3 linked regions of the Oreochromis niloticus genome follow. The protein of the gene in region 3 interacts with the protein of the main gene of each other region in a pairwise test. Links are inferred from orthologs where the notes say so. Each region holds a gene or a part of one and is shown on either strand. Other genes may lie near its edges.

What was found. The genes of interacting proteins can lie anywhere in the genome.
Region 1: the proteins of efhc1 (region 3) and eif4enif1 interact in binary tests that used the Homo sapiens proteins (3 or more experiments, as listed by UniProt). The two-hybrid records come from large-scale screens. The link is inferred for Oreochromis niloticus from reciprocal best matches to the Homo sapiens genes EFHC1 and EIF4ENIF1.
Region 2: the proteins of efhc1 (region 3) and kctd4 interact in binary tests that used the Homo sapiens proteins (3 or more experiments, as listed by UniProt). The two-hybrid records come from large-scale screens. The link is inferred for Oreochromis niloticus from reciprocal best matches to the Homo sapiens genes EFHC1 and KCTD4.

Annotation. Positions count from the first base shown.
Region 1 is NC_031970.2:16,089,078-16,099,729, reverse strand, and holds the start of eif4enif1 (eukaryotic translation initiation factor 4E transporter), read right to left. Parts: upstream 4,960-10,652; 5' UTR 4,600-4,959; intron 4,348-4,599; exon of another isoform or gene 4,210-4,347; intron 4,064-4,209; exon of another isoform or gene 4,042-4,063; intron 3,964-4,041; 5' UTR 3,913-3,963; coding exon 3,820-3,912; intron 3,739-3,819; coding exon 3,665-3,738; intron 2,385-3,664; coding exon 2,257-2,384; intron 2,004-2,256; coding exon 1,741-2,003; intron 1,472-1,740; coding exon 1,273-1,471; intron 1,129-1,272; coding exon 965-1,128; intron 240-964; coding exon 104-239; intron 1-103. Other genes in the region: protein SFI1 homolog, read left to right, coding at 5,681-5,844, 5,927-5,998, 6,098-6,208, 6,289-6,383, 6,481-6,598, 6,685-6,787, 8,290-8,446, 8,553-8,714 and 7 more. UniProt on the Homo sapiens protein: EIF4E-binding protein that regulates translation and stability of mRNAs in processing bodies (P-bodies). Plays a key role in P-bodies to coordinate the storage of translationally inactive mRNAs in the cytoplasm and prevent their degradation.
Region 2 is NC_031987.2:11,320,628-11,330,834, forward strand, and holds kctd4 (BTB/POZ domain-containing protein KCTD4), read right to left. Parts: upstream 4,485-10,207; 5' UTR 4,138-4,484; coding exon 3,361-4,137; 3' UTR 2,460-3,360; downstream 1-2,459.
Region 3 is NC_031980.2:12,763,580-12,773,979, forward strand, and holds the start of efhc1 (EF-hand domain-containing protein 1), read left to right. Parts: upstream 1-5,255; 5' UTR 5,256-5,423; coding exon 5,424-5,489; intron 5,490-7,240; coding exon 7,241-7,462; intron 7,463-7,545; coding exon 7,546-7,833; intron 7,834-7,938; coding exon 7,939-8,088; intron 8,089-8,322; coding exon 8,323-8,509; intron 8,510-8,801; coding exon 8,802-9,028; intron 9,029-9,530; coding exon 9,531-9,671; intron 9,672-9,834; coding exon 9,835-10,048; intron 10,049-10,261; coding exon 10,262-10,400. Other genes in the region: eva1aa (protein eva-1 homolog C), read left to right, coding at 1,235-1,417, 2,635-3,014. UniProt on the Homo sapiens protein: Microtubule inner protein (MIP) part of the dynein-decorated doublet microtubules (DMTs) in cilia axoneme, which is required for motile cilia beating.

The DNA of each region.
Region 1 (10,652 bases), on a different chromosome or scaffold from region 3:
GTAAAGACTTGTCTTATCACAGATGATGTGATATGGCACAGCCCTACAACTGCTTTTACAGAAAATAGATTTGACTCAGTGATCAAGAAATCAAATCACTTACCAGCAAGTTTCTCCAACTCTTCATGAGGAGTTGACCTCAAGCTGCTGGACCGGCTGCATGGACTCTGGTTACTAGAGAACCACTGGCTGAAGCGGCTAGCTGACACAGGGCCCTCTCCCAAAACATCCTCTATCATCTGTGAGACAGAAATAGGGGCCTGTGAGACAGACTAGGATACAAAAATCTGCATACTGAAGGGTGCAAGAACAAATGTGCCACTTACGTTTGTAGCGCTTTCCATCGATTTAGCACTAAAAAGGTGCTAGAAGACTGAGGGCAGTGTCACTGAATGCACTGCTGTTTGACCTTGTTCTCATTTACCAGAAAGCATAGAATCTAAAAATGCTAAAAGTAGTTTGCAGTTGGGCTTTTCTAGTTCAAACTAGAAACTGCATCCAAGCTACAATGATGGGCATAAATTTGGATTGTTGATGCCTTTTAAACATCTCATTAACCCCATGCAAAAGCCCAGAGAACAGAATATTGATAGTGCACCATTCAGTGACATGACTCACCAACCAAAGACCAAATTCAGTGAGGTCAAGCTAGTGCAGCAGAGGTAATCTTGCACTGATACAAAGTATCAATACTTTGTTTTATATGACTAAATGCACAATTTGTGAAATTCCGATTTTTTTTAAAAAGCCACAACTATCAGGCTTGTAAGAGTCTTAATTGTATAATTTGTTTTTAAGTTGACAGTTGTGTCTGGTTCAGGGGTGAGCAAACATGAAAACCTCTACTGTTAAGCTTTTCTGGAAAAATAAATCACACTGATATTTTAGAAGTTACTAATGACACCCCATCTGTGAGCTTCAAACCACTAAGCCAAACAAAACCAGAGTGCACCCCAGTACTTACAGAGGCCAGTCCTGGCATGGTCTTCTCTAGATTGTAGAATTCATTGAAGTCGAAGTCACCAGCTGAAGGCTCTGGCAGAACATCAGTGTGGGGAACTTCCTGATCAGCTGTCGACTGCAAACCCACATCTTGCTCCTCAGGCTGTCCGCCATTACATTCCACTACTGCATACAAGATGTGCGACAATAAAATTAAATACAAGTCACAATTTTAACATGAAGTCTTACTGAACTGACTTTCCAAATACTACTAGAAATACAATAGTCCCTAAAAATGTTGGCAGTATTTCTAACAATGTCTTGACATGCCTTCTTTCAAAGATTCTGTCCGCTTCCTTGAACGCTTAGATTTGCGTTTATCATCTTCCAGGATTTTGTCATCAAATCCAATAAGCTCAATTGTCTCCGACTGGCTGGTGGGACCCTCCGTGAACCACTCTGGCTCGTCTTCTGCATACGAGTCATTCCTCCTCCTTTCGCTAAACACACGCTTGTCACCAAAATCTCTCTGCAAATGATTACATGGGACAAACAATATCAATTTAGAAATATGGGATGGAACAATTAAAGAGTAACTGCACAGAAACACTTTTATAAATTTAGCTCAAGTCTTACAAAATTGTGTTTTTAGACAGTTTAAAAAAAAAAAAAAAAGATTTTCCTTGAACTAAAAATGTATCGTGTAAAATAAAGTTGCAAAAAATGTAAGTGCATTCAATATTACATTAAAACTAAAAGCAAGGACATTTGCACTGACTGAAAGTGACAAACACCAACCCTGAATCTTTTATCCTTCAAGTCTCTCTCACGCTCCTTCTCTGCACGAGCTTCTCTCTCAAAGGCACGGGCAGCAATTATGCGTCCACTGCCAATTCTGCGTGACCCTCCCATACGTAGAGTGTCATTTTCTTTGTTTTCCAAGGGGCTGATTGGGCGACGGATATGAAGGGCAGCATTGCCCTGACATCCACCTCCAAAGCTACGTCGCTGTGGGCTCAGTACTACATCCAGGTCATCCTCCTTTAACCGCTCACGGGGATCTAAAAAACAGGGAGGGAAACACACACCCCAAATAATAATAATAATAATAATAATAATAACAACAACAACAACTGTTTTATGGAGTACATAGACTACATGAACAATTCCACTGCAGCAGTTTAGAAATCTTGTGCAAGACTGGAACCTAAAATCCTAAACATTCATTGATCAGAGCACAGTTAAGTTTCTAGACAACATTGTTATGAAACGCAAAGATGAAAGGATAACCATCTACCATCAGTAATTATTTACCTGGGATTCTTCGTTTTAATGGAACTCTGTCATCCATGTAGTCCTTCTTAAAACCTTCCACAGGTGAGCTTCGCTCTGAAGTGGGATATAGTGAGGCATGCCATTTCTCAGGGTCCCAGACACCATCACTGTTTAAAACAAACAAACAAAAAAGCCACCCATAAATTTCAAATAAAGAGACAACTACAGCCTCAACTGGGATCCTGTTTAGGAAAAAATAAATAAAGAGCAACAATGAAAGATACAATTCCTGCATCTTGAAAGTTTAACATTTATATTTGAGTATTACAAGACTACTGTGATGAGTAAAGTAAAGATAGGCATGGGCAAAAATACAATACACAGGTCAGGCCATCCATTTCAACCTTTATGCTGTGAGCACAGAATACAACCCAAAAAGAGGGTGCAATAAAATCAGATCCTCAAAATAATAAACTAATTGATACTGTTGCACTAGCAGTGTTTAACTCTGATGACAGACTACTATAAACAATTTTTCCAACAGTTGAGACAAATCACATTTTAAGTACATGTCTTCAAAATCTGAAGTCATTCATTAACTCTCTCCCATAAAGACATTACACTTAATGACGAGTTCTGACACCTCAGTATCCATCAATAAAGATGTGATTGGATGACAACTAAAATTGTTTGCAGGTTTTAGCAAGGGTAGCTGCCTAGGCAGAGACCACTCTCACACCTTACCTCACTAACGGATGCAAACATAAGCAGATCTAAAAAATAATGACAAACTGCTCAGTTCAGAAAAGATCTTCGAGGGCAACTCCTAGTAGGCTTTGAAGGGGTAAAGAGGTCTTTTTTAGGATTAAAAATACCCCCCCACCCCCCCACCCAAAACCGCTTGACCCACCCTTTAATGAGCCCACTTCTCATATAGTCATAGCTACTGTTCCTGGCTCCAACAGCTATTGGACAAAGATACAAGTCTTCTAGTGCAAGCGTTTGTTTTGCTTCTCAAGCAGACATCTGAACAAATCTTTGACTGTTGTTTAAGAATTACCCCAAGGAATTTAAATAAGCTCCGAGCAAGAGACAAGCTGGAAGTGCATGTGAATTCCAAAAAGCAGGAGCAAGTCTTCTGGACAGTTAAACTATGTCAATGATTATTACAAACTTTATGCAAATTTTAGTTTCAAGACAGTGAACATATTTGTATAGAAACTCTTCTGCTTAACCTTGTTTAATCAAAGTAACTTTTGATCACATACACTTCAGTTCCAGCAACAAATACAATTGAAGAACTGTTGATCTGTGCCAAAAATCAGTATTTCACAGCATAGAGAAATACTAGTACTTTTCCTTACTAGAATTCACCCATGCTTTCTCATTTGAAAAGCATAACCTCCTGTCCAGTATTACCCAATGTGACTTTTACACAAATTCATACCTGTCATATTTCTCAGAGAGACATTCAGGCCTTTCATTGGAGATTGGCAGCGCTTTGATTTCCAAAAGCTCCTCCTGCAAATAAATTGATAGTCTAGTTTAATTCACAGCAACATCTAAATTTGATAAACAATGACACAGCTGGCATTTTGTCACCTTAGTGTATCTGTAAGGAGCTGTGGCTGCCGGCTTAGGCTGGTCGACAGCAGCGTCACCATTCTTAGGCTCTACACAGGCATCTTTCTCCATGATGGATTTCAGACAGAGCAGACAGTGTCTCAGCCACCAATGACTCTACACCTGTGGATGACAAGTTAACATTTACAAGTCAATTATACTCGACTACGGCCACTAAATACAGTCTTAAAGGCCAATTACTTCAAATGAAAGGACGCATGTTCCGAAGATTAAAACAAAAAAAACCCTGCTTCCTTCTGTTGCTGCAAAATATATCAGATGTATTGCCATCTTAAACTAGGCAGCACGAGAAAACAAGATTACAGAAAAGTTGCCGTGAAGAAAAACTTGAACTCTCATGAAGCTTACCTGCACCGGGCAGTTAAAAAACAACTCTAGAGTCTCAGGTTGTTGCTGGCTAATTAGCAATTTAATTGACAGCAGCTGAGAACTGACAGGTCATTATATTACAAAGCGCTTACATCAATTTACTAATTGGGTATCGCATTTGAGTTGTAAACGAAGCCGTTCTGCAATGAAAGGATCCAGCGAGTTAAAGACATGTAAACATTTTAATACAAAACATTCCTCATCATTTCAGCTTTAGGAAATAAACGCTACTAGTTAGCCAAGAGATTGACACAGGGTTAGCCAAACGATGGTAGCGTCCCACACAGTTAACCATAAGGCGAATTCGTGGCACAAAAGTTGTGTAGACAACCGACTTGCAAGTCAAATTTTGGCAAAAGACAAACTTACTCAGTTTGAATGCTGTGCGGAATGCCGGTCGCTAACGGCCGAGCTGATCACGTTAGTTAGCTGGCTAGCCTAGCCTAGCACTTTGAGCTAGCTAACTAGCTGGGGGACTGGGGATAAATGCCCACCCAGCGAGCACCAAATCGTGAGCCGGTAGAGTTGTCGCTGTGATTTCAGGGAGCACACACTATAGAGGGGTAACCTAACACAATAAGACTGGTTCAAAACAACAAATTAAATCACACGGAACCGGTGAAATCTCAAATAATAGTCTTCTCTTTCTCTGTTTTCTAAGTCGTAGCAGCAATTTTCCTCTGATCACCGCTTTAAGAAGGTCCTGGCAAAGATTACGCCGTGCCCAGCGCGCCTTTGTAAAAATTTAAATTGGCAGGTGTGCGTTGGCGATAATTATTTTAAAATCTAAACCAATATATGAAAATTAATTTCAAAATAAATTGGTTTATACGTATGTATATAAAATATTGAAAATGTAAATTGCTTTGTAGTGATTTTTTTTATACTACGGTAAAAGGCACGTGACAGGCATTATTAGAGACAGCCATATTTTGTCTCAGGATTCGCTTGATTTGTGATTCTCCACCGCCGGTCTCCTGATGGTCCTTATGAAAATAAAGACCCCGTCCTCGCGGGCAGTCCACGACTGACATTTCGTGTCATCGTCGTTAAACTGAGGGGACCTTAAGTACGTTCTTCCTGTGTGAAGTAAACATTTCAGAGTTTAAACTGTTGTAGAGGGAGGTGTATGAAAAACACCACCCCATATTGAAAAGTTTATTAAGCAGACCGTGACTCTTATAACTACCACAACCAGTTTAGTGTGGTCTCCACAGACCGGCAGCAGAGGTTGTTGTTGTTGACAACTGTGTATCGAAGACACCAAGTGGTCACGTGATAAGGAAAAACAAACGCGCGGCACTTTGTAAAGAGTTTTAACGTGAGGATAAATTAAGGTAATTTTATCATGTAAGCTACAACAGCCTTCAAAGTGTAAAATGCGGATGCTTTGATGCTTGTATTTGAGAAGTGATGCGATTCGGTGCTCTGTATAATAGCGGCTTGAAAAATGCAAAGTATCGGCGGAAACTCGGATCCAGTAAGACCCCGTTTAAACTATGTCAGATCTCGTGGTGAAGCAAAACAAGTGCGCAAAGTTCACATCAGAAAGGTCGCTTACAGAGTTGGATACACCTGGAACAAAGGTGGAAGACTCAAGGAGCTGAGAATAAGGTGCTGAGACTATTCCTTGACCCACTGTTATCATGTTACTGTCTTCTTGAAAATTAAGTCTCCATTCTTTTAACTTCTGCAGGCACCTTGCAAGAAAGTTTCTGAAGATATGGATACAGAACACCTTTGGCCGAGTTCTTCCTCATGAAGCAAAGTAACGTGTTTCATTTGTTTGGAAATTGAAAGCATTTTCAAGTTTACCATTTGGTTGCCCTCGTTTTCCTACCTGCTCACTAATTCCAGTGTTTTCCAGGTCGCACTATAACAGAGTGGTACTGAGAAGAACCTTTGAAGGATGGAGAGATGAGTGGTGGTCATCCAGGAGGGAGTGGAGTCTGAACATGCGAGCAGACTGTCACTACAGGTCATTACAGTACATTATAGAAGACTTTTATAGTTGATTCACTGAAGTCTGTTCATGTGTTCATGCTGCTTTTATTTCAGGTATTACCTGTGCAACTGGACTCTCCGCAGCTGGCGAATGTTTGTGTGTTTGCAGAGGGAAAAGAAGATGCAACAGCAAAAGGCTCAGTCATTTGGTGTGACTTTTACCATTCAAGCCTAATGTTGGGGGGGGGGTTTGTCAGATTTTATAATTCACTGATGTGTCATCACCCACTTTGTTTCTATCATCAGCTGACAACCAGCGGATGCGTCTGCTGTTGGACAGATGGGAGGTTTTCACAGAGATGAGAAGACTGAAGAGCAGAAGGCTGGAATCAGCTCTTGAGCAGTACAGGCTCTCAGCTATGCAGTGAGATTTTTGTGTTATCAAATGAAAACTTGTAGCATTATGATTTTTACCATAATATTGATTTTACCATTGTTTTTGTTTTGCAGCTCAGTGTGGAGCTTGTGGCAGACTAGATTACAGCACCGTCGAGACCTTCACGTTTTGGAGGTTCAAGCACAGAAACAGAGGGCGCTAACCTTAAAGAAAAGGGTAAGGGCATGATCGAACACCCCTGTGAATCACATGTTAATATTATTATTATTAATAGTAATAATAAAAATAACAAGAATAACTTTTTTTCAATACTGCACCTTTCAAAACCAAGTGACAAACTACAAAATGTTTAAGAAGAATTAAAAGTGAAACAACATAAAGTGTAGGAACGCTGACAGTAGAAGAAGTTCAAAGGCAGTAGATAAAGACGAATTTTATCTTATCTTTATAAAGATAAAGACAACTAAAATTATAAACATGTAAATTAAAAGCATTTATGAAAAATTAGACTAAATAAAAAAATTATCACCAAGAAAAAATTATGAAGGACAACATTCACTTCAAAGCAGAGGCACAGTAAAAACCTGATCATCAAAGTATGTCTTTAAGAGAGATTTAAAAGATGATAGTAAGCTCTGCAATCTGATCTACTCAGTTAGGCTGTTCCAATCTGTCAAACTAATTAGATAAAGATGACCCAAGGAAATACAAAAAATAATAATAACAATAATAAAGTGATAATTTCATCTGTTATTATTGAATTTTAAATTAACTGTGATTAACCACATTCTTTAGAAAGCTGAGTTCAATTTTGATAGCCACACCTCGGCCTGATTCAAGGCAGACCTGTTGAATCAAGAAATAATGGAAATGGAACCTGTCAGACGAAGTCAAGTAGATTTACGTCATACCGCCATCTGTCTTTGGAAGGTTTGAGTCCCGTTACATCTGGCATAAAACTCACACAGTATTTCATAAAAGAAACATTACACGGTGTCAAACATGGTGGTGACTCTGTGATGGACCATGAATTCTGCTCTCTACCAGAAAATCCTGAACGAGAATGTCCAGCCATCAGTTCGTGCTCTGAAATTCAGACGCACTTGGGCTATGCAGCAGAACAATGATCCAAAACGCACCAGTGCGACTGAATTAAAATAATTCTGCAAAGAAGAGTTGGCCAAGATTCCTCCACAGGGATGTGAAAGACTCATTGTCAGTTATTGCAAACACCTGATTTTAGTTCTTGTTGTCAGGGGTGGCACAAGCAGTCATTAGATTTAGGGGGCAGTTGCTTTTTCACACAGGGCCATGTAGGTTTGGATTATTTCTGTCCTTGATAAATGAAATCATTACTTAAAAGTGCATTTCATATGAACCTCAATTATTTTTATCTAATATTAACATTTGATCTGAAACATTTAAGTGAGATAAATGTGCAAAAATAAAAAGAAATCAGGAATGGGAAAATAGCTCAGTTATACTACAATCCTGTGAAAACTAACTCTTACTGAGCCTAAGCAGCATAAAATAAGACTGGACAACTGAATTGAAATGCTTATCTAAGCTGAGGTGGTTGTCAACTTACACTATGCCCATGGATGACATGCTCCCGGGGTCAAATGTATAAAGAAAACCAAAGAGTAGTGAACCTTGAGGTACATTACTCCTGTGTGTTCTCTCTGGTGATGGGTCACCTGATATATTTTGTATTGAAGGCTTGGCTTCAGTGGAAAGAGATGCATACGGCTGCTTCTTGCCAGAAAGAGAAAGAATCCAGAGCTGCGTTTCATTTTATCTCCAGATTGAAAAGAAGAGCTTTGCATCAGTGGATGAGATATGTGTCCTATCGCCACACCAAGACAGAAACACAAGGTCATTATAGAATACCCACGCAGCTTTGTTTCCATTCTTGAAGCATCATTATTTTGCTATCTCTTAACACATTTTTATTTTTTGTTCTTTTGTGTTTCGCCTTCAGCTTTGGCTCAGCGTGCCTGCTCTCGCCTCCTGGTGAGGAGGTGTTGGAGTAAATGGAGAAATGCTCTCGATCGCAAACACAGTGAAGAGACCCGTTTGCAAGCAGCAGCCCGTTTGGCCACGCGGAGCATTCAATGCACAGCACTGGTGCATTGGAGAGCTTGTATCCTGATCCACATGTAGAATAGATAAAACTTGGATAAACTAGTTTTTCTACCTGCTACTAAATCAGTTTTAATTTATCGGCATTGTTGTTTGATTCTTGAGCTCTTCAGTAGATGTGGCATTGTGCAGAGAAGAAACTGAAAGAAAGCATGCAGCAAATCAACACTACCAACATCATTTAATGGTAAAAAAATAAATAAAATAAAGAACCCACACATAAGCAAAGATCAGCATGTTCAATTCATGTATTCATCACAGCGCATTCTCATTGCAGCGTGCTGGATTGCGAGGGTTGTCTCTTAATGTCGTGTTGAACAAAACATATCGACTGAACAACCATATGGCTATCCAACATTGTCAGCAAACGGTAACTGATGAACACACTACGATCTTCACGCTGCAGACAGTCAGCGTTACTCTCATTGAAGATTTCAAAGCATCTGAAATGCTTTTTTTTTTTTTTTGTAGATGACTCATAAGTACTGGAAACTATGGCAGGATCGTGTGGAGGAAGCTGAAAACCGGAGTTTTAAACCCTTCATAGATATGGCCCTGAGTAACTACAGGTGCTCTTACATACATTTCCCAATCCATAGGGCTATAGTCACGGCTCTTTGTTGTAACACCCATGCTACAAATGGAATTTTGTTTCTCGTTGCAGCACTTCACTGCTTAGAAGACATTTTCACCACTGGAGAGAGAAACTTGCTGAGCAGAGACACATGCAGGTATTTTCAAATACAACTCAAGACAGCAGAGATGCAGATGCTTTTGCATCACAACACAATCAACTTGTTAAGTTTTGTTTTTTTTGTTTATTTTTTTTTTACAGGAACTGGAGCGTCGTGCAGACATTTGGTTTGTAGACCATATGCTACCTCGGTGCTTCCAGTCTTGGGTTGAGTTTACCCTCCACAGCAGAATGCGTCAACAGAGAAGACTCAAAGCTGAAGCTTATAATCGGTGAGTCATCATCTTTCTCCTCTTCAGTTATGCAACTCTTCAAATGAAAATAAAATAACAATATACCTTTTTAAATTTGGCTGCTTTCCCCTTGAAAGTTCTTTTTTTTTTTTTTTTTTTTTTTTTTTTTGGCTTCTCTGGACCACTTTCAGTGTGGGTGCTGTTTTTAGACCCTCTATTTTTAGATCACTGGTCCCATTCTGAGTGGTGGGATGCGCGCATACAGATTCACCACAGTCTTTAAACAGAAAGCAGACATCATCTTCTGTGTCAAATTGACCCCAATTTCATATTGAGGATCATTTTTGCTCATGGGAGCTGGTCTCTGGCTGTAACTCAAAGACAAAAAGGTAGTTTTCTATGGAACTGTCTGTGGTGTCCAAGCCCTGAGGCACCACGATCAGGAGTCATTTCCCAGACAGTCAGAGTGTCAGATTTACTTTATTTAGGCATCTGAGGGAGAACATTCAGTTTGCATTATCTAGACTTTGGTTTGTACTGGTTTGTGTGTAGACTTTGTAGTTTTCAACCTTAGCAGGTGGATGAATATGGCCAAATGATCTGTCTGTCCACTGTGTTGTCAGGCGGCGCCAGTGCACCTGGGTGTTTTACACCTGGTGGGGGAAGTCGGAGAAGCTCAAGGAAGAGATGCTTTCTGAGCGGATGGTACGTCAACTGCAGATGAAAACTTTGTTGTGGTGCACCGCATTGGTGATAAATAACACTTACGTTTTTCCAGGCAGTTCTTCATGATGAGAGATGCCAGAAGCAGAGAGCCTGGACGCGATGGAGGCAGCGCACACAAGAGCGGATCAAAGAGGTGGAGAAATGGGAGGCTTCACGTAGTCTGTATCGTCGCACACTTCTACACAGGACGATGATGCAGTGGAAGGAAAACAGCACTGAGCTACGAGACAGGTGAAGCTCAAGAAGAAGTTTTGGTGAAGCTGTTGAATCATTTGGGCTTGAGCTA
Region 2 (10,207 bases), on a different chromosome or scaffold from region 3:
GGGGCATATAATTCTACTTCTCAGTGCATTCAAATTAAAGAAGTGTTTCATCACTTAGCTTTGTACCTGTTTAATATCAGTGCCATTGATTTTTATGATGTATATTATGTTTGAGCCAGGAATGTTTCACCTGATGAAATCAAAGCAGAATCTTCCATGTTTAGTCATTGATTTGCATTACAGTGCTCTCACAGAGTGAAATATGTTTTCCATTCCTGCAGTCACGAACTTATGAAATTTCTGCATCATCTCCCAGGAGGCTGATTAGATCATTTTACTAATCCACCTGCTATTAAAATAAGCACACCTACGGTTAGCACTTTTGACCAGTACGATATTACAAAGTTGGACTTTGCAGGTAACGATCACTCGTTACCTGTTACTAGCTGCTTAGATGCATGACACAAATCAGGGTACAGTGATAAAAGGGATAAAAAGAGATTCTCCTTGGGGGAGGAGGGCAGAATTCATCCCAGAGTCTGACCCAGTTTTAAAATGCCAAATATCTCCACTAGAGCTGGACGGGTTTGAAGGGGCTCCCTCGAGGCTGCGGCAGGGGAAGCTGCTGCACTGTGGAGGCAGCACGACTTGGGCTGTCAGTTACTGTAGCAGGCGGTGTGAGGGTGAGAGCAGGGCATGTTTTGATTAGACTGTGTGACAGACGCTGTTGCATAATAATGGGAGACTTTGCTTTAAACATAATGAGCGTTGTAACCAAGTTGGAGCTACTTACACTGAACTCATAGTTTATATTAGAGAAAGAAAATATGATAGGAATGATTAAAATACTTTATTTGAGAATATGAGCCACATTAGTTAAAACAGAACATCAATTTAAAACAGCGTCTTTTAGTTTATTGGCCACATTTGTTGAGCCTATAGGTTGATTTTTGCTAGTAAAAGTACTCATTTTTCACCTGCAAGTCTAAAGAAGTGCTCTTTTAAATTTTTCACCTGAGCCATAGGAAAGGTTTTTTTTGCTTTTTCAACTCTGTATCCCAGTTTCTCCACATTCATGCAGTCGTAGATTAGTGGAAAGGCACAGAACTATCATGCCTAGCTTTTCCAGCTATTTTAATATTTTGCAACTTTATGATTCAATCAACTGTCGTACGGCTGGCAGATTACTTTACCGAAACATTACACTAGTTAAAAACTTCACTGCAATTTTTTACACTTTGCAGACTCAGACACACTGGTGGGTTTATGAAGTAAAAACAAAGTGAACTTCACTGTATCACTGTAGATGTGCAGTCAGAGATTTGTATCGGAGCTCCACGTCAATCTTTCTCTTTATTTAACTTGTATAAATGTTTCTGTTTACGCAGCAGCACATCTGCGTACTCTGCAGCAATATGAGAAGTACTGACTTTTACTTCTATTACTACTATTACTTCTATTTGCTGGCTATAAATATATTAATGTTATTGCTGTTGTTTTCTATTTATTTTTTTAATGTATCTGTATAAGAGAGAGAGGTTTGTCCATTTAGATATTTTTTATGATATTTTTTGCAGCCACAAATACAGAGCATTCTAATTCTGTAAGAAACATTAAGAAATGTATCTGAAGAAATCACTTTTAAAAATCTAGCTCTGCCCTTCTGATAGTTTTTATGGCGTATTGCGAGAAGGCAAATGAAACTATGGAGTTTTGTTTCGGATTGAATCAAAGTCCTTCTAGAAGCAAGTCTTGGACTTTTCTGACAATTTACTTTATTATCGTTTTGTTAATTAATTATAATTTCAGTGATGTGAAACTGCATTAAAAAACTGCTTTAACAGTTTACACACTTTGCCCTAAAATACATTTTTGAAACCCTTTTCACCCCCTGGAAGCTCCTTTAGGAATTTCCTGTACATTATATTTCTGAGATCTGCTGTGCCTCTATCTTACATTTTTGCTTCTATGTCTTGGTTGTTTTTTTTTGCAGTTAATGATGTTTAGCTACTTCGCAGCACTGCGTGAAGTGAACATTACATCGTGGAACAGCGTCACAGGAAATATTCTGAATAAGCCTTTTAATTTCTACAGGTTTCCACTGGCCGGCATATAAAACCGTGGAAAATGACTCCCTTCTCCTTTTAATTTTCCAGATGTGGAAAACAGTGTTTCACATGTTTGGAGAACTGCAGAAGTGCATCATTTATAGCATGGAAAAGTACTGGCTGTAAGCAAGAGCCAAGTCTGTGTATAGCTCCCATTTGGATACGTAACATTAATAATGCTCCTGTCTGACTCAGTGGGTAACAGTCTCACTCTGTACAGACTGTAAGTTCAGCAGGGTCAGGACTAAATGGTTATAAGTGTAGCTTTTAAGCTGCTGTATGAAAGAAAAATAATCTAATACTAAGACTTGCTGCCTGATTGTATAAAATAAGTTTCCTCATTAACGGAAGCAGTTTTTGTGAGGTTTGTCACACAAAAGCAGCGACATTAAACGTCAAAACACTCTGACCCAAGAGTTTTAGTCTCACTTTTATTTGTAAAATACTCACATTGAAAAGTAATAGGCATTTTATTTTTTTGTGGCACTGGCTTCACAGAGGCTCACAGCACTAACAAACACACAGTTTATTTAGTGCACATGCATCATGCTAGATTCAAAGCCCTTACAATAATCACAGTTCTTTGCACTTAAAACTCAAACATTTGGTTGTGAAGTTTGCTTTGTCCATCCGAATCGATCCGAATGAGCTGTGGCTGTCCCTTCAGGCTCCGGAGAGGCTAATAAACTGAGCACAAGCTATTAAACCAACTAAACACAGCACACAGGGGTGGGTTTAGCAGTGCACGCACACGCACGCCAGCACACATACACACACGCGCACACACACACACACACAGAGGCTGTAGTAAAAGCTGAATGGCACAGCAGTGCACATCACGCAGCAGAAGCAGTTCTTGTGCAGAAACGAATCCACTGATAAAGCTGTTTTTAAAACCTCAGTTCGACACGTTCGTCTTCTGTGTGAAAGGACTCGCTGTCGGCTTTCGCGTCACTTAAACTTTTGCATGATACCTAACCAGATGCAGTTAAAGATGCTATAAATGTCAAGATGATGTGGGTCATTTTGAGTTCTATAAATACAAAGCAGTGCAAACGGTGATGCTAAAATACCATTCTGCTCAGAACAATCACCCAAAAACTTATCCCGTGTGTGTGTAAGCCACTATTGTGCAGTAAACATTTAAAACCTGCCCTGTACGACAGACCTACCCACCAGTTCTTCTATCAATGACACATTACAGCTCGGCACATCTTACAACATTTTCAAACCAATACCTCACAGGGTGGATATAGAAACAGGCTCTTCTCCCTCTATCTTCCCCCTCCCCGCCCCCTTCATCATCTTCATCCTACTTGACAAAATGCAGGGCCTCGGCCACCACCACGGAGCCTTTGCTGCTGTCAAGGCAGGTGACAAGCTTGAAGCCCGATCTCAGTGCTAGCATCACTGTCTCTAGTTTCAGACAGTCAAGTGTGCACAGGAATGTGCTGTCCTCCTTCAGAACGAGCCGCGAGCCAGGCTCCGACTTGATGAAGTGTCGGAACTGTATCACGTTGGATGACACCACAAATTCTTCCGGAAAGCCATCCAAGCGGCTCTTGGAGATCTGCACCAGCCGCCCTTTGACCTTGTCGATGAAGGCGGGGTCACTGCAGTACACCTTGAGGCCCTGCGACCTCTCGTGGCTATCCGTCACCTCCAGGAAGGCGGGTTCCCGCTGTGCCGCCCTCTGAGTTTCCCACTCGACCACAGCCTCCACCAGTTCAGTCAGGCGGTAAAAATCGGCCTCTCGTCGCAGGAGCCCCGCCTCCCGGAAGTCATCGGGCAGCTGGAGCTCTCCTGTTCGGAGGTAGTTGAGCACATGGCGAAAAACCGGACCGTCTCTGTCGATGAAGGGGTTGCCCATGGAATCGGTGTGCTGGACCGCCTTCTTACCGTTGGCCACCTCCTCGAGAAACGAGCCCTGTTGCTTGGCAAGGGTGGTCCGGTGGGCCGTGTACAGGAACCCCCCTACGTTGAGGGTGATGGTACCCGAGGAGGGCTTCTTGAAGCTCTTGCTGGGCTGCAGCAGGTCCGGGTTGATGTGCCTCAGTTCACTTTCCATCCTGCTGAGGTCCCATTCCATTCTCCAGACGCCCTCTCCAGCCTCGACCCAGCCTCGGAGCTGGTGTGTCTGCTCGACTGTACGCGTGTGTGTGTCTCTGGGTGTGCTCGGTACCAATCGAGTCAGTTTTTTTTTTTCTTTTTCTTCCCCCCTTTCCTTTGGATCTGACTTTGCGGGTCGGTGCTGCAGCTGAGGAAATGAGAAGGTGTTGTCAGCTGTCGGTATAGTGAGAGCAAATGTGTCTGAGAGTGTGTGATGGTGGATGGGTGAGTGCTGTCTGGCAGAGGAGCGACAGTGAACTGGGAGCTGAAAACAGACTCGCTCTCTGTTCTGCTCCGTGTCCCTCCTCTCTCTCTCTCTTCCTCTCTGTCTCTTCTACTCTTTCTGTCTCTCTCTCTCTCTTTAAGAGTGGGTGGGCAGGCAGCGTCACATACAGGGAGGAGAGAGAGGGAGTATGTGAGCAAACACCAGAGGAGTACAGACTCCAGAAGCTCGCTCTTTTTCTTTCTTTCACTCTGTTTTTAATTATCTTGGATAAAAAAGGTGCAAAGCTCAGCTCTAGCTGTTAGTTCACACACACATACACACACATGCACGCATGCCATGCTTTCACCAGATGGAGGGGGGGGAGGGTTGCTTCCATAATTTTTGTGGTGTGAAATTGTCTCAGCGTGTGTGAGTCTGAATATGAAACTCCTTTTTGCAGCCAGATCCATCTGTTTTACCACACAGCGCTTCATGTGAACTGGAATCCGTCTGAAATCTCCGGTCATGACGGGGAGAAGGAGGCGGCTGGCCTCGCTTCATGTAAATTTCTGTGACTCTCTCCTGCTTTCCTTCTTGCGAGGTAACAGGCAGGCCTTCTGTCTTAGCAAATTGTTTATTGATCGTGCCTGTGTGTGCGGTGTGTGCGCGCTCGCTTTGAGGACCTTGTGAAGGAAATGGACCAATTACAGTCCACGGTGGTCCGGTCATGAAGGACAGCTTTTGAATTGGTTAATGCTTTTGGCCTGTAGCCTCCTGTCAGGGGAAAAATGGTCCACTGGTCGCTCAGTACTAACGACTCACGCCGCCACTGTTTATGTGTGTCCGTGTGTGCTTATTTTTGTTCTGCGTTTCACATTTTTTGTGTCTCCTCCAGCGCGACTACAAATGTGAAAGAAATCACAGTTCATATCAAACACGAGGAAACACGCAGAGCGGCTCCAGCAGTGCTGACTGGTAACAGCGTGTGATAAAAACATAAAAGTCTGCGCATACCACGCAGATGATTTGGTCTGGTGCTTCATGCTTACACTCTAACACACTAAACACTATGCTAAATAACTGTAGTTGAGCTGAAAATGGAAGAAAAATTACCATTCTAGGAAGCTACTAAATAAATAACAGTAAATGATACGTATCAACTTTGTGGTAGATGTACATTTTATAGCAGAGGCTGCTCTAAAGTGTGAGCGTGCAAAATCAATGTGTACTTCAGCTTCCATGTGGTGATTTAATGATTTTGTTAAACATATAATCCATAAAAGAAACATCTTTGCATCAGAATCTTATTATGCAGTCGCCTTTTAAGAACAGGTTTTCCTCGTGTCCTCTTTATTATTTGTTGGCGTTTCTATATTAGAAGTGGAAAATGTCAGCAGTCAGATTGCTCCCATGTTGAACTCCCTGCATTTCTTATTTATCACGCAAGCACTTACACAAACACTCAGGCCCGATAGCCTGCACACTAAATCCATGTTTACTCTTGATTCTGACCCGCGCAGCTCTTCTACTGCTGCAGAAATATTTCAGTGCAGACGGTTTGTAACCTACTTTAGATGTGTTTTTACACCAGGGAGGCAATGCCAGTCAATTTGCATAATTTATCATCACTTGCACAGAAGTCTGGCAGTGACAAAATACCTGGATTGTGGCGGTATTTGTCACCGGAGGGCAACGAAGACGGGGCGCCTTCTTTTGCAGTGGTGTTTATATGTTTGATTACTCACTAGCAAAATATTGTTAAGGCATTTAAATTTATTTACCTTGTGAGAAAATTCAGTTATACAAGTAGTGGAAGATTAGGTTATCTCGATGTAACATTTAGCGGTAGCAAGCTTGTCGAAAACGAGTAAAGCAGGCTAAAAAACGGCCTTTACAGTGGGATAACTAAAGCTAGAGACTCGGGATTATCTGTTGAAGCCCTGCTGCAGTTGCTTACCGGTATCGCTGCATGAGTCAGAGGTGTGAAGATATCTCATTTATCGAAGCTTTTCATGGTAAATTTCTGAAGAAACTACTTCAGGTGAATAAAAATGTGCTCTATATCCAGACATGGTGTTTGGTGTGGATTATTGGACACCAGCAGGATCAAGTTATCCTCTTATGTTTAGTTCCTTAAAGAATCAGTACAATTAGGATGCTTTTAAATCACAGTGGGTGGTGACATTAAAACAAGTATCTGATTACATAGCATTTTCTTATTTATGGTGAGGTACCAATGTGATGAATGACAGCCTCTGCATAAATTATAGAACATTTAGGCAAGGTCTTCAATTGGGAGATTACCCATGCAGCTTAGATTATTCAGATCAGGTCAGAATCCAGCAGTTACGGGCAGATTTCTTGATGCTGAGTATGTTGTGAATATTGCAGAGTTTTGTGAATGAATTGTATCTGCATTTGTGCGCTTTTGGATCTGTTGGTTATCTATTTATTTCTTTTGTTTCCTTTCTGATGCGTAAAATGAAGTCCTGCCTTATGCATGGCTTCTCTTTTACCCCACAATGGATCTAATGAGAATGACGGAAAAAAATTTAAAAGGCAGAAAAGAAAAAATGCATTATAATTAATTTAAGAGCTTCAACAAAATGATTATTGGTTACATGCCAGTGTCAAAAACCTAAAGCTATTCAGTTTAAAGAAAACCAGTAAATATTCACACTTGAGTTTCTGTAACTACTGAAAATTTTGGCCATATTGCTTAAAAATATGTCAGTGAATAGCTGTTAAATCTAAATATATTAGAATGCAATACATTAAACTGAATAATCCCTATGAGGATGAAAAATAGCTGCATTGCTGCACCTTTTAAGAATCAATAATGAAGCAGAAAGGTTATAAATCAGAGTATATTACATTAAAAAGTCTTTTTCATATGTGTTTGCTTTTTTTGTAGATCCTCCATTTAATTATCCCTGCTCTTTTGCCCTTAGTAACGGACAAAAATGAATAAAATAGGCTACACTGATTGCTTTTCCACCTAAAAAGCAACAAGTATGTTACACTGATGCAACAGGTTATCACCCACTTACTCCTCAGAGCTGCTGCTGCTGCTGCTGTAGATGTAAATGAATCATGTAGGCAAGTGCACTGATTGAAGATTCACTTGAACTGAAACACTTTATTCAAACATGCGAGCGCTCTCTGATTGATGTGGGTGACTAAAATGCTTCTTTTCCTTGCCTACGTGGGGTAGTTGATCCCCAAAACGACGGCTCCTGTGCGTCGCCTCTGCGATTTTTCCATTCATAAGTGATTAGTTGTATCATTGTTAACGACACTCAATTGGAATTGCAAACGAGGACAAGATGCAGCAGAGAGGATTGTGGGAGGTTTGACCTGCTTTCTGCTCTCTTTATTAAAACAGCCTCGTCGGGGACCGTCGTCGTCTTCAAACGGCGGTGGGAATCTGTTAGTCGCGGCTGTTGTCAAAGTGACAGCTTTTTGAATGTTTGAAATAAATTCCCCAAAATGCTGCTAGCAAGGACTCTCCTTCGCTCTTAAAGGTGGTGAATTATTCATAGAGCCGCTCTAAGAGCTTGTGGTGTAACATGGAGTCACTGACTGCTGTGAAGCTGGCATGGCAACCGCTTAAAATGGGGTCTTGTGCGAGCTCGGAGCTGTCAATCTCTCGCTTTATTCATTATGGAAGTCTGTCTGCTGTAAAGGGTCTGCATGTGTTAGTCCCAGTGGATCGAGCTGCTCAGATGGGAGCAGCGTATTTTTAAAATGATGACTGTGTGAATTTTGATTTGATCACACATACTTTTTCTTTTTTTGAATATCAGCACCCTATTACCAATATAATTTTTTTCAGTAATACAAACAAGCAAACAGAATATGACCCATGGAGGAAAAGGGGAAGTATATCATAAACAATGTTTAAATGCACACAGAGCTCCCATCTCTATAAAATAAATAAATAAATAAATAAAAAATCAACAAAAGGCTGCCTGATTCATGATGAAAAACTATCCTGACTTTAATCACCACTGATATAAAGTTTCTGTTAGTTAAGGATGATTAATATTACACCTCTTAAATATCGGTTTATTAGTATTTGTATGTAGTATATGCCTCACAGAGCTGCTGGCATGGATGTAAAGCATTTTTGTGTAACAAGTCAGAACTTCCTTAATAGAAAGAAACTGCTCAGGTATACATTCACCAGCCACTTTATTGGGTACATTTTGCTGGTACCGGGTTGGATCGCTTTTTGCCTTTAGATTTCAGTTAAATTTTATTTATATAGTGCCAAATCACTACAGTAGTCACCTCAAGGCACTTTATACTATTATAGCAAATATCCTACAATAATACAGAGAAAGCTCAAACAATCAAATGGCCTATGAACAAGCAATTGGTGACAGTGGGAAGGAAAAACTTCCTTTTGACAGGAAGAATTCTTCATGGCACAGATTACAGCAATGTGCTCAAAACATTCCTCAGAGATTTTTGCCGTGTTGATGTGACAGCATCACACAGTGGCTGCAGAGTTGTCGGCTGCACATCCACTATCAAACCTCCCCTTCTGTGACATCCCATAGGTGCTCTTTTGGATTGAGATCTGCTGACTCTGGAGGCTTAGTACAGTGGGCATGGTCAGCAACAGTACTCAGGTAGGCTTTGATATTTAAATGCTCAGCTGGTGCTAAGGAGCCCAACATGTGCTAAGAAAATATCCCCCACACCACCACCAGCCTGACGCCGTATTTAGACTTCTGCAGCGAATCTTTGCAGAGCCTACGACTTAACGTACATAAGCAGCCAACGTCATTGCTGGTATTTATGCCGGTGCTGGTGCATTATGTGTTAACTACCATGTGGTAATGTCCCAGTGTTTTATATGCCCTCCCACAACACTGATAAGGATAAGCAGAAGGGGATAGATGGATGGATAATTAGTCCTTATATTGAGATGATGATTATTCTCTGCACTTTTTAAAAAGAAACAAGTGGACAAATGTATAGGAGGAATTGACGGTACTGCCCTTATGGTCCTTACAAGCATGAATCCCCCATCAGTTGATACGAGGCAGCATGCATTCATGCTTTCATGTTGTTTATGCCAAATTCTGACCCTTCTCAGCCTCAGCTTCCTGTTCTCAGCCTCAGCTTCTTCTCAGCTTGAAGCCACTCAGTAGACATTTTCTCTTTTTTGGACTGTTCTGTGTAAACCCTTGAGATGGTTCTTTGGGAAAATCCCAGCAGATCAGCAGTTTGTGAACATTCATACCAGGCCATTTGGCACCAATGAGCATGCCATATTCAAAGTCACTTAAATCACTTTTCGTCTCCTTTCTGATGCTCAGTTTGAATTTCAGCAGGTCACCATGTCTACACGCCTAAATACACTGACTTCCTGCCGTGTGATTGGCTGATTGGATATTTGGTTTAAAACCTAATTGAATAGTCAGACACCATAACGACATGCTCAGTGAGTACCTGCCAAGAAAAAGAACATAGACCTGGTCGGGAAGAGGCTCAGATTTATCCAAGCTGCTAAAAAGTTTACTTCCACAATCCTTTGTTCCACATCACAATTAAAGCAGTATAAATTTTATGCGTTATGATTTATACATTATTAACAATGTTCAGAGGTCAGGATTCATTCAGAGGCTTTATTACCAGCAGGTCCACTGTATAGATCGGATGTGCAGAACAACATTATTTTCTGTTGCATCCTGACTGATTCCTTTAATTAAGTTACTGCTGCTGTGCCACATGCGTAAATGAGCACATCACTCTCAATTTAAAGGAGGTCTTATTGTTTCTGCTGCTGGGTGATCCTTCAGGAAAATTTTACACGTGGCCAGCTGTGGGCAAC
Region 3 (10,400 bases):
AACACACTGGACCAACGAACTGACAACACTTTTGTTTTTATAGAGGTGCTAACACTTGCTCACTGTCAGTTAATGAAGTGCATTTGATTAGCAATATCTGGCTGGTATGTATCCTCTTATTGCCTAAAGAAGTAAGAAGGGTGTCTTTAGTTAGCCACAGGAATGCTAATCCTCTGAAGACAAATGTATTGTTTCATAGAGACAACAGTATAACAACAATGTATTTTATATTTTCATTGATAATGTGACAAAAGTTGTCTGTTTTCTGTGAGTTGAGACAGATTGCGGTTGAACGTTAGCTCATGTGTGCAACATAGCCGTAGGTCCAGGTGGAAGCATTTACCTCATCAGCGAGCACTTCCAGTATAAACTGCATTTATCAGATAAAGAGAGCCCGACACACCTTAGAGACTCTGCAATTAGAGGTCATTCCTGCGTGTGACAAATCACCAGAGTATGCTTACCTTCATTGACAAAAGAAATAAAGCATGTAAAAATGACTATGCAACCACACACACACAGAGAGCTCAGGTCACTAAACTAAATGCTTCTGTTTATTTTGACTGTTTGAGGTTTGGTTGCTTTTTTCAGTGGAGCTAAACTTGCAGTAGTTCCACCATACCCCATAAACAACTACGTCAGGTAAACTAAAGGCAGCTGTAACATGAGTATGAATCCCTGTAATTAATTCATGGTGCTCCTGTTTTCTCTCTCTTTCTCACACTCTCTTTGCAGTGAGCGCACAACAAAACCCAGCTGGTAAACACTGAAAGAAGTGAAAAAAGAAAAATCTAGAGCAGGAAGTAGTCGTTCCCATCTATAAATAGACTTTTTTGTTCTAAGATTTTGGGAAACTTTTGAAATGTCTCCAGAGTGCAAACTTTTCCATGTGGTTCTCTGTTAATGACCTGAGTCAGAATGGATTTAACCGAAAAGGATGTTGTGTTATCTTCTGAATCACAAAGCTCCCTGTGAATGTGTACGTGTGTGTGTGTGTGTGTGTGTGTGTGTGTGTCTTATGCGTGACGCATCTTTTTAGAAAATTTATGTGATAAAATCTTCCCCAAACCACTGTGAGACTGTAGGCGACTGAGACTGATGTCATTACAATGAATCAGCAACAGCAGATTCTGGATTTACTGTAAAAGCAGCACCATCATAATGTAACTGTACATGTAGCTGCTGTAAATTACTCATTGTGTACTCATGTCCTGTTAATTTACATTTTTTCCAGAAAGGAAGAAACCCAGGGAGACGAACGCCGACGAGGAAAAGTCTTTTGAAAACGGAAAAGGAGGAGAAGAAAGAGAAGAAAGTCCATTGCGTCCCCCGGACATGAATCCCGTCATCAACTCAACATCGAGTGGCAACATGGCCCTCATTAGTAACGCACTGGCAGCCTACACTTACGTATTAGGTCGGGTAACATTGTTCTGAAATCTACTGTAACATCACATGTATAGCGTAATGTCTGGCAGTTAGACTTTTAGAGATCTTAACTGCATCTGCTTACGGAGTGGCCCCACAGTGTAAAGGTTAATGCATTCACCTTGCAGCTTGGATAAATGGGAGGGGTGCACCAGGAAGGGCATCCGGCGTAAAATCTGTGCCGAATCGAAATATGCAGATCCAACCGCTGTGGCAGCCCCTCGGGAAATAAGGGGCGGACGAAAGAAACTTGATCTCTTTGGGAAAGAGATACAGTTAGCAAACAAAAAGGCTGGACCTCTGTGTTCAAGAGCATTATCAGCTCCTGGTTGCTTCTTGGCCCATGAGATTAGTGACCACGGGACTGCACTGCATGGATTGATGTGTGTAAAATCCCCGTTTCCCATTTCTTGTCACTAAAAGGTGGGTAAATGTGGGCCAGAGGATGTAAGCAGAGATAATGTCTCTATACATTACACAGTGTGGGTCACCTGCTCTAAGCAGCTGCTAAAACAGTCACTGAAATAGTTTGCCTGTTTCCTGCTATAAACAGTTTATACATAGTGAAATGTGCAGCACAGAAGGTCAAATAAATACACAAGGCATGCAGTGAACATGAGCTTAGGTGGTTACTTAGATCACTTAGCTTTTAGCTTTCTTTTAAGGTTTCCTCAGAATGCAAAAAAGGTTGCACGTTATGATTTCAAGAAGAATTCTCAACGTCTTAATGGTACAAGAGAAATGAAATTGATTATATTAATGAACAATAATATAAACAGAAGTATCTGCAGCTAAGCTGGATGCAGAATGCAAATGCAAAGTACCTGCATGCAAAATGCAAGGAAGACATGAAGGATTCAAAGCTGAAAATGGCATTCATTCATTGAAAAGGGAGAGCTGTTCTCGTCTCGTGCAAATGGAGCTAGAGTCACTTTGGTTTTTTCAGTGGTGAAACACAGATCCCATCAGAGCTGTGACATCTGTTGAAGATGAAAACCAGGAGTAGCAGAATCTGTAAGACATCTTAACTAAACCAAGCCACGTGAACACTTGCTGTGCAGACAATGTTCATTACACTGAGTGAAACGCATCTGGCTAAACAGGTCAGGAAAAAATAAGAAACCCAGTGAGAAAGACTCAGCTTAGTGTTCGACACATTTTCCTCATAAAGTCAACTAACAAGTTCCAATTTCTCTTCTACAACAGACCACCCAGAGAGGGCTGCACTATTCTTTGTCTGCGGTGTGTGTTTGGGCCTCTTCCTCACCCTCTTTGCCCTGGTAGTACAGATCTCCTGTCGCACCGACTGCCAGCCCCGCCAGCGGCCTCCCGCCAAGAAACGACCGCGTCCTCCCGACTCATCCTCCGATTCCAGCGACTCGGACTCAGACTGGGACACCACCTCAGATCTGTCGGCGCGGAGACACCGGCGCTTTGAGCGTACGCTCAACATGAACGTGTTCACGTCGGCGGAGGAGCTGGAAAGAGCACAGAGGCTTGAGGAAAGGGAGCGAATCATCCGGGAGATCTGGATGAACGGACAGCCGGACATCCCAGGGACACGGAGCCTCAATCGATATTACTGAGGACTGCAGAGGAACGATTGATAGGCGGCTTACTTAACTCGAACAAAAATTTAGAACACACTTGGGTTGGAGTGGAAAGGGACAAGGCCTCGATGAAGCTTTATAAGCATGAATGCAAAAGCAGCTGGACTCATACTGATGAGAAAAGTCGAAGGTACTGCAGACTTTTAAAGAAAGTCCTCCTTCTCTGCTGATTTGCATATTCCTCTGGGTATCATAAGCTATTCCCCTTTTGAGTAAAACAATAAGCTCCCTTTCTGTATGGTAAGCTTACCTCTTGGCTGGAGGAAGCAAGAGGTGAAAGGCTGCACTGCCTTGCCCATGACCTCCGCAGGCCTTTTTGAAGTGGGGATTTATGGGTTAGCTGCCTTAGACATACATAGGCCTGCAGAGACTACATGGTGACTGAAGGACCAAGGCCTCAGACAGGTCTGTTTATACAGAACCCCAGGCAGCTGGAAGAGACTGTGACACTTACAGCTTTATGTTCTGTACCCTCCAGTATTCAAGTGTGAACTTTAGCAGAGGGGTAGCATAAAGCAAGTGCACTTGACAATGTAAGATAATCTTTCCACAGTGAATAACCATGCTGCCTTTTGAGCTTTATAAAACCAAAAGATATTTTTGTGGGAATTCATCTCAGCCCTTCTGAAATATATTTTAAAATATTTAATAGTTTATTAATATTGCGTATTTTTGTTGTCAAGTATGGTTTATTATGAGATATTTTTATACTTGGCGAAGGTTGTCTGGTCTAGCACCTCAGGGATGCAATCCTAGTGTTTCTGTGTTTGGTTGATGTTTTTTTTTTTTTTTTTGGTTATTAAGAAGGGGATCGGCCCATTTAAACCGCTGTGCCAGCATTTAAAGAGGAGAACTAGAAATATCATATAAAGAGCCTCAAAGAGGTTTTAGTGATTTTAAACCTTATTTTTGATACAGTATGTTTAACTCACAGTGCAGTGCCTTTTCCAGCTGTTACATCTCTTTGTCAGAAATGAAGCTGATGAGTCTCTCTGTAACTGGTCAAATTATTTATTGATTGGAAATCATAAATTCATCTCGTTGTATGCATATTCCCTTTGCTGAGGTGGACCATGCGTAAAAGCTGAATGCGTCTGTTAAACATTGCACTTCTCCCCAGATGTAAATGTGCATTACCAGTAAATGCCAATTTCTATCAGTGACTTTGCTACAAAATATTTTTATGGTCTTGTCTCATGACAGATGTGTGAATTTCAGGTCTTGCGCCATCCATGTATTCATTTCAAAGATGCTAAACAGATGCCTGTGGAAACCAGCGCTGCAGAAAGTGGCGAATCATGTCGCCACTTTAATCTTATAACCAGTTGACAGTCCAGTTCTGCTCGTGCTTCCCTGACTTCAAGCGTAGAGTTAGTTTTCATAAATCAGTTTGGTATTTTTCTGAGCATAATTAAAGAGTAAACAGGACATATTAAGGTCATCTTCACAACACTCCCTCCACCATACATACACCCTGCACTTCTCCTAGTTTTTTGTTTTTTTTTTAATAACAAAGATATTTGTTGTGTTTAATTTTGAATGGGATTAAAATGTGCCAATAACTGGTGACGTGAGAGACCAAAATATGACTCCTGTGCTTGGAATAAACTGTGTTAAAAAATAACGTCTTTTTTTTTCCTTCTGCACTTTCTTCTGAAAAAACAAGCTGCAACTGTGTACATTGACCTATATTTTTGACTTTAAGACTATATTGTGAGTCTCAGGAAAAAGAAGACGCTTTAGCCTAATTCAAGGACTGAGAATACAGGGAGTTCATAAATAATACTGATTTACACAAGGAGGCCATAAGACAGCATGAAGAAGAACTCGTGAGCCAGTGGCTCACTGGATCTGTAAGATTTGTTATTGAGCGCCACCTTGTGATGAAGACAGATCTCTACAGTGTGTTTTAATGCAGCACATAAGGAGTGAAGTTAGTGACTGCAAATCACTTTGGCTAGCTATACAAAGTCAGCACAACTATATAGATAAATGCATTTGTTTTAGTGGGTATAACATAAAAAAATACTGCATCAAATTAAAAAAAAATAGAAATTATAACAACTTAATATCATGTTATTATATTGTATTTTATTTTTGCCGTTTTTATTTCTTTGTTTCTGTGTTTGCCGCTGTGAATTTCAGTATTTCCTTGGGTTTTTACCGCGAATTTAATTTTGTTTTAGGAAATATTTGCTTTGTTTCCATTGAGACGCCCCTGTCGTTACCATGGATACCATAAACTTACCACGGTGAGAGCTCTCGTGCAATTTTACACACCAACGAAACCTGCTGTTAAATCCACAAATTACACAATTACCACTGCTAACATCTTGTGCAAAGGAGGAGATAAAAAATATATATATATATATATCAAGACTGGAAATGTCTTGTACCTGGAACAGCCACGGACTACCATTTTTACCGGGATATACATTTCGAGATGTGACGGTAAGAATATGATTAAACAAAACTATAGGGTTTGCTTAGTAGTTTGAAACATTAACGATTGACAGAGTTTTACTTCTTTTCTTTTTTTTTTTTTTAAATATTTGTCGATTATTTTTTAATAATGCAGATGTCTTCTTACATTCCTCCACTAGTTAGGTTGTTTAAGTTGCTAAAGTACTAGCCAGCTCTCGAGTGACCTTTAAAACATCCCGGATGTTCTCTAAAGAGTCTTTGATAATTATTGGTTCTTTTATAAGGTTATTTTATTTTACCAAGCCCTAATAAAAATGAACAGCAATGCTCTGAATCATAATAACACATAATTATTATTATTTTTTCATAAAATTAACAAATTCACTGTTGACAGTTAACACAGAGAGAATTTATCCCAGGATTGTTGCTATCCATTCTTGCTATACTTTAGGGATGTTATTGTTATTTTGTCTTCCTACAGGCATAGCGCTCAATACTTGATCTACAGTACTGTTCAGTAGTCTTGAGCCACCCCTCGGAAATGAGAAATGGGTGCAAGAATGTATTGGAACATGTGCAAACATACATGGGAATACAGTACTGAAGGCAAAAACTGAGTTTGTACAATTCTAATCACCCTGAAAGTCAATATTTGGTCTGAGCACCTTTATTCTTCAACACAAACAGAACTCTTAGGCAACAATGCTTGTCATTTCTTTAAGTAGTGTTCGTGAATAGTTCCCCAGGCCTCTTGGGGGACATTTAAAAATCTTCTTTGGATTCTAGCTGCCTTTTGTTACATTAACAGGGGTGGTAGCTCAGGAGTTAGAGCAAGTCATCTACTAATTGGACAGTTAGTGGTTTGATCCCTGGCTACAAGTATGGCCAAATTTCCTTGGGTAAGATACTAACCCCAAGATGCTCTCCAATGTGAGTGACTGGTTTATAAAAAGCACTTGGGTGAATGATGTTGGATTGTAGGGAGTAGAAAAATGCTATTTAAAGAATTATCAGAACATTGAGGTCTGGACTCTGGGGAGGCCAGTCTATCACTGATTGTGCTCCCTTGTGTATTTTTCTATCCAGTTATGCCTTCACCGCATTGGAAGTGTGTTTTGGCAAAAAACAAAAAACAAAAAAAAAGGTTTCGGCAATTTTATGGATTGACATGATTGATCAAACTCGGTTCATAATTCAATTAATTTTGACACCGCTGTCTGAAATTCAGCCCCAAACCACAACAGACCTCCACTGTGTTTTGCTCACGGGTGCCTAATAAACTGTGTTTTCTGTGTTCTGTGTTAATGGGAACAGATGATGTGTTTTTGTGACAGTATACTAGTAAGATAACTAGAGATATATTTTTAGATTGTTATGTTGTAGTTTTCTGCTATGTGTAGACAACACTGGCTCATTGCTTGAGTTAGGTGTCTTTTTTAATGCTTCAGTCATTCATAGGTCAATGTCAAGTGAGTTAACAATTAAAGAATTCCTCTAAAAATGGTCAGGAACAAGGACTTGAATTAAAATCCTTGAAAAAGCAGCCAATAGAACAACGTTAAAAGACCTTAAGAAAGCCTGGAGAATTATTGGCTACTTGGAACAAAATATACACAAGGGGTGGCTCAAGACTTGCACAGACTACTGTAACATTGGACAGAACACTCCCATATTGGTATTTAAGTGTAAACCACATCAATTAGTGATAAGTGCTTCATATAATTACATTTCTGTCTGTATTTACCTGAGCTAATTTATTTCTTCCTCTGTGTTTGCAGAAGTCAGCCTTCCATCGACCCCAAACTCTGAGCTATAGGAATGGTTATGCTCTGCCCCGACGTCCCACTGTGGGCATTGGCAACGACCCTCTTTTATCAGAGCAGCTCACTCAACAAGAGATTAGTGAGTTAGCCTTCGAGACACCTGACCTTACTTATGGCCCCTTTGGTAAAAGAGTACATGAAGACTTCCTCCCTGCTCATGTGGCCCTTGACAAGAAGGTTTGGTAACACCTATAGTTGTAAAACTCATAAAAACATAAAGGTTCTTCATCTGTTATTCATCACTACCACCTGTCTTGCAGGCGCTGCGCTACTATGGATATTTTATGGAGGCTATTTTGTATTCCCCTGAAGAAGAGTACCGTGTACGCCCTGTGGTAATTTACTATTACCTAGAGGATGACAGCATTTGCATTATCGAGCCCACAGTAGAGAACTCTGGGATACCACAGGGAAAGCGGATCAAACGCCACCAGTTGCCCAAGAATGAACGTGGAGAGCATTACCATTGGAAAGATCTCAACCTTGGTATGGACCTGGACGTGTATGGGGTCAAATACCGCATTACCCAGTGTGATACCTTTACTAAGGTACAACCTTATGTGTTTGAATGCTGTGGAAATGAAACTATGCATTAGAAGTCTGCTGTTATAAATACACTTCCTGCGTGTTCTGATCTCTCATTCTTTGTACAGGAATTCATGGAAAGTGAAGGCATGATTGTAAATGACCCTGAGCTAATGCCAGCGGATCCTTACATCATGCGTCGTGAAAACCCTCCACCGTGTCACACTACACCTTCCACATTTGATAATTTGCACAAGTTTCTCAAGATGGACCGCAAGGTAAATGAAATTCTGTCCTTTCCAAGCTGACTGTGTTACATTTATCACGTTTAGCACTGTCACATCACAGCAACGTCCAAGGTTTGAATCCACCAATCTTGATTTGTGTTAGAGTTCTAATAAGTGTTAGAAATTAAATTCCTGGATTGGGTATCCCTGCCATGAAATAAATGGCAGATATAATAGAGGCATGCCTGTATTTGTAGTTTCATTCTTCTACACTTTTTTGGTCAGGTGTTACGCTTCTTCGCTCTGTGGGATGATGCTGACTCTCTATATGGGGAGTCCAGGCCTGTTACCATTCACTATTACCTGGTGGATGATACAGTGGAGATCGCAGAAGTCCACCAACCAAACAGTGGCCGGGATCCCTTCCCCATCCTGATGCGGAGGCAGAGACTACCCAAAAAGATCAAATCAGGTTTCATACAGTACTGTGCGTTTGTTAAATGTGCATTTAACTGACTTGATTTGATACAGTGCAGTAAAGTGAGTTATGTCATCAGTTAAGTTTTTTTTTCTTTCCTACTTTATGTATGACATAAACGGCTTTATGAAATGATGACAAAAATGATGACATGTTATGTAAAAAGATTAATTACACTGGCTTCTACAAAGTACTCGGTTTTCTAGATACATCAAAAATACTGTGGGACTGTGGTAATATTTTGTATATTTAATTTTTACATTGGTGTACTCTTGTTTATTTGTAGAGAACTTCCCCAGTGCAGTGATGGAGGTCTCAAAGGAAGAGGTGGATGAGTATTACTCCCCAAAAGACTTCCAGGTGGGTCAAAGGATGAAACTACTGGGGCGCAACTTCCTGCTTTATGACTGTGATGGCTTCACTAAAGAATATTACCAGAAGAACCACCCGGAAATGGAGATGAAGTCCATAGAGATACCAAAGAAGGCTGATATCCCTCAAGACAGGAAGAAGGTAAATTGAACTGTATATTTAACCTATTTTTGTTTTTTATGTTAGCAAAAATTTTATCTAAACTGAAGCCCATCCTGGAATGGGATTACACCACGATTATAAACTACATCCATCTGTGAATTTGACTTTCATGATGTCAGTGATACACCTGCATCTTACACAGTGATGACGCATCATACTGACAGAATCTGTCTACAGATAGTCATATAAACACTTGATAAAGCTCTAAAAACTACCTTTGAAGAGGTTCCTGCTATAGTAAGTGTCTCAAGGACCTAATTTTGCCATGACTGCATACACACAGACAGATTCAGAAGGTAATCTGTATCACTGAGGAGGCATGATTTATACTGCTTTAAGCCAGACCAGTTCAAAGTGATAGGAAGGCAATAGTAGCTCAATTAAGCAGACGGACTACAGCAGCAGAAGTGTATATGTTTTTGTACATTATTACTTTGTGTCCATTTCCTTCTCTCTTTCTCCATGCTGTCCATTCTTACAGACAATTCCTCCCTACAATGGTTTTGGCTCACTTGAGGATTCTCTTCAGAATTGTTTGCGTCTGATTCCCGAGCCTCCCAAAGTGAACGTGGTAAAGATGCTAGAGAACAACCATAAAGTGTTGCGCTACAGTGCCAGACTGGTGAGCAACATTTAGCAGAGCATTTGTAGCAGTTTAAACAGAAACACTGCAGATTAGAGATATTTTTACTCCTCAGTAAAAATTTATTTAAAAAGGGGTGATTATGCAAAAACGCTATTTTTATTTTTACACGTTGGTTAAGCCCGCCTATGTTGCATTCCAGGACTCCCAGAATCCTGAAGATGAAGACCGCCGTTTCATCCTGTCCTACTTCCTGTCCAATGACATGATCAGCATTTTTGAAAAGACCACACGCAACTCTGGTATCATTGGTGGAAAGTTTCTGGAAAAGTCCCGTGTGCCCAAGCCGGACTCTACTGTAGACAAACCTGCGTACTACTCACCTGCAGACTTCGCTATCGGGGCCACTGTGGAAGGTAACAGCTGAAATCCTATGTTAACCAGGACTGGGAAAACAAACATGCCACTATCCCAACTTTTTTTAAGCGGGTTTCTGACTTCAAATTGAAAATGATTATATATGCATTTTTGTACAGTAACATTTCTCAGTTATGACATTTTAAATGTTATCTTTAGTATATCAAGATTATAAAATTTACCTTTTCCCTTTTTTTTTTTCCCACTTTCAGTTTTTGGTCACCGCTTTGTGCTGACTGATGCCGACCACTACGTGCTCAGATACTTGGAGTCTAACTGGAGTGACATCCCTTCCAAGATGCTGGATTCTTTGCGGCAGAAGCTGGGTGTGGAAATTGAAACTACCCAGCC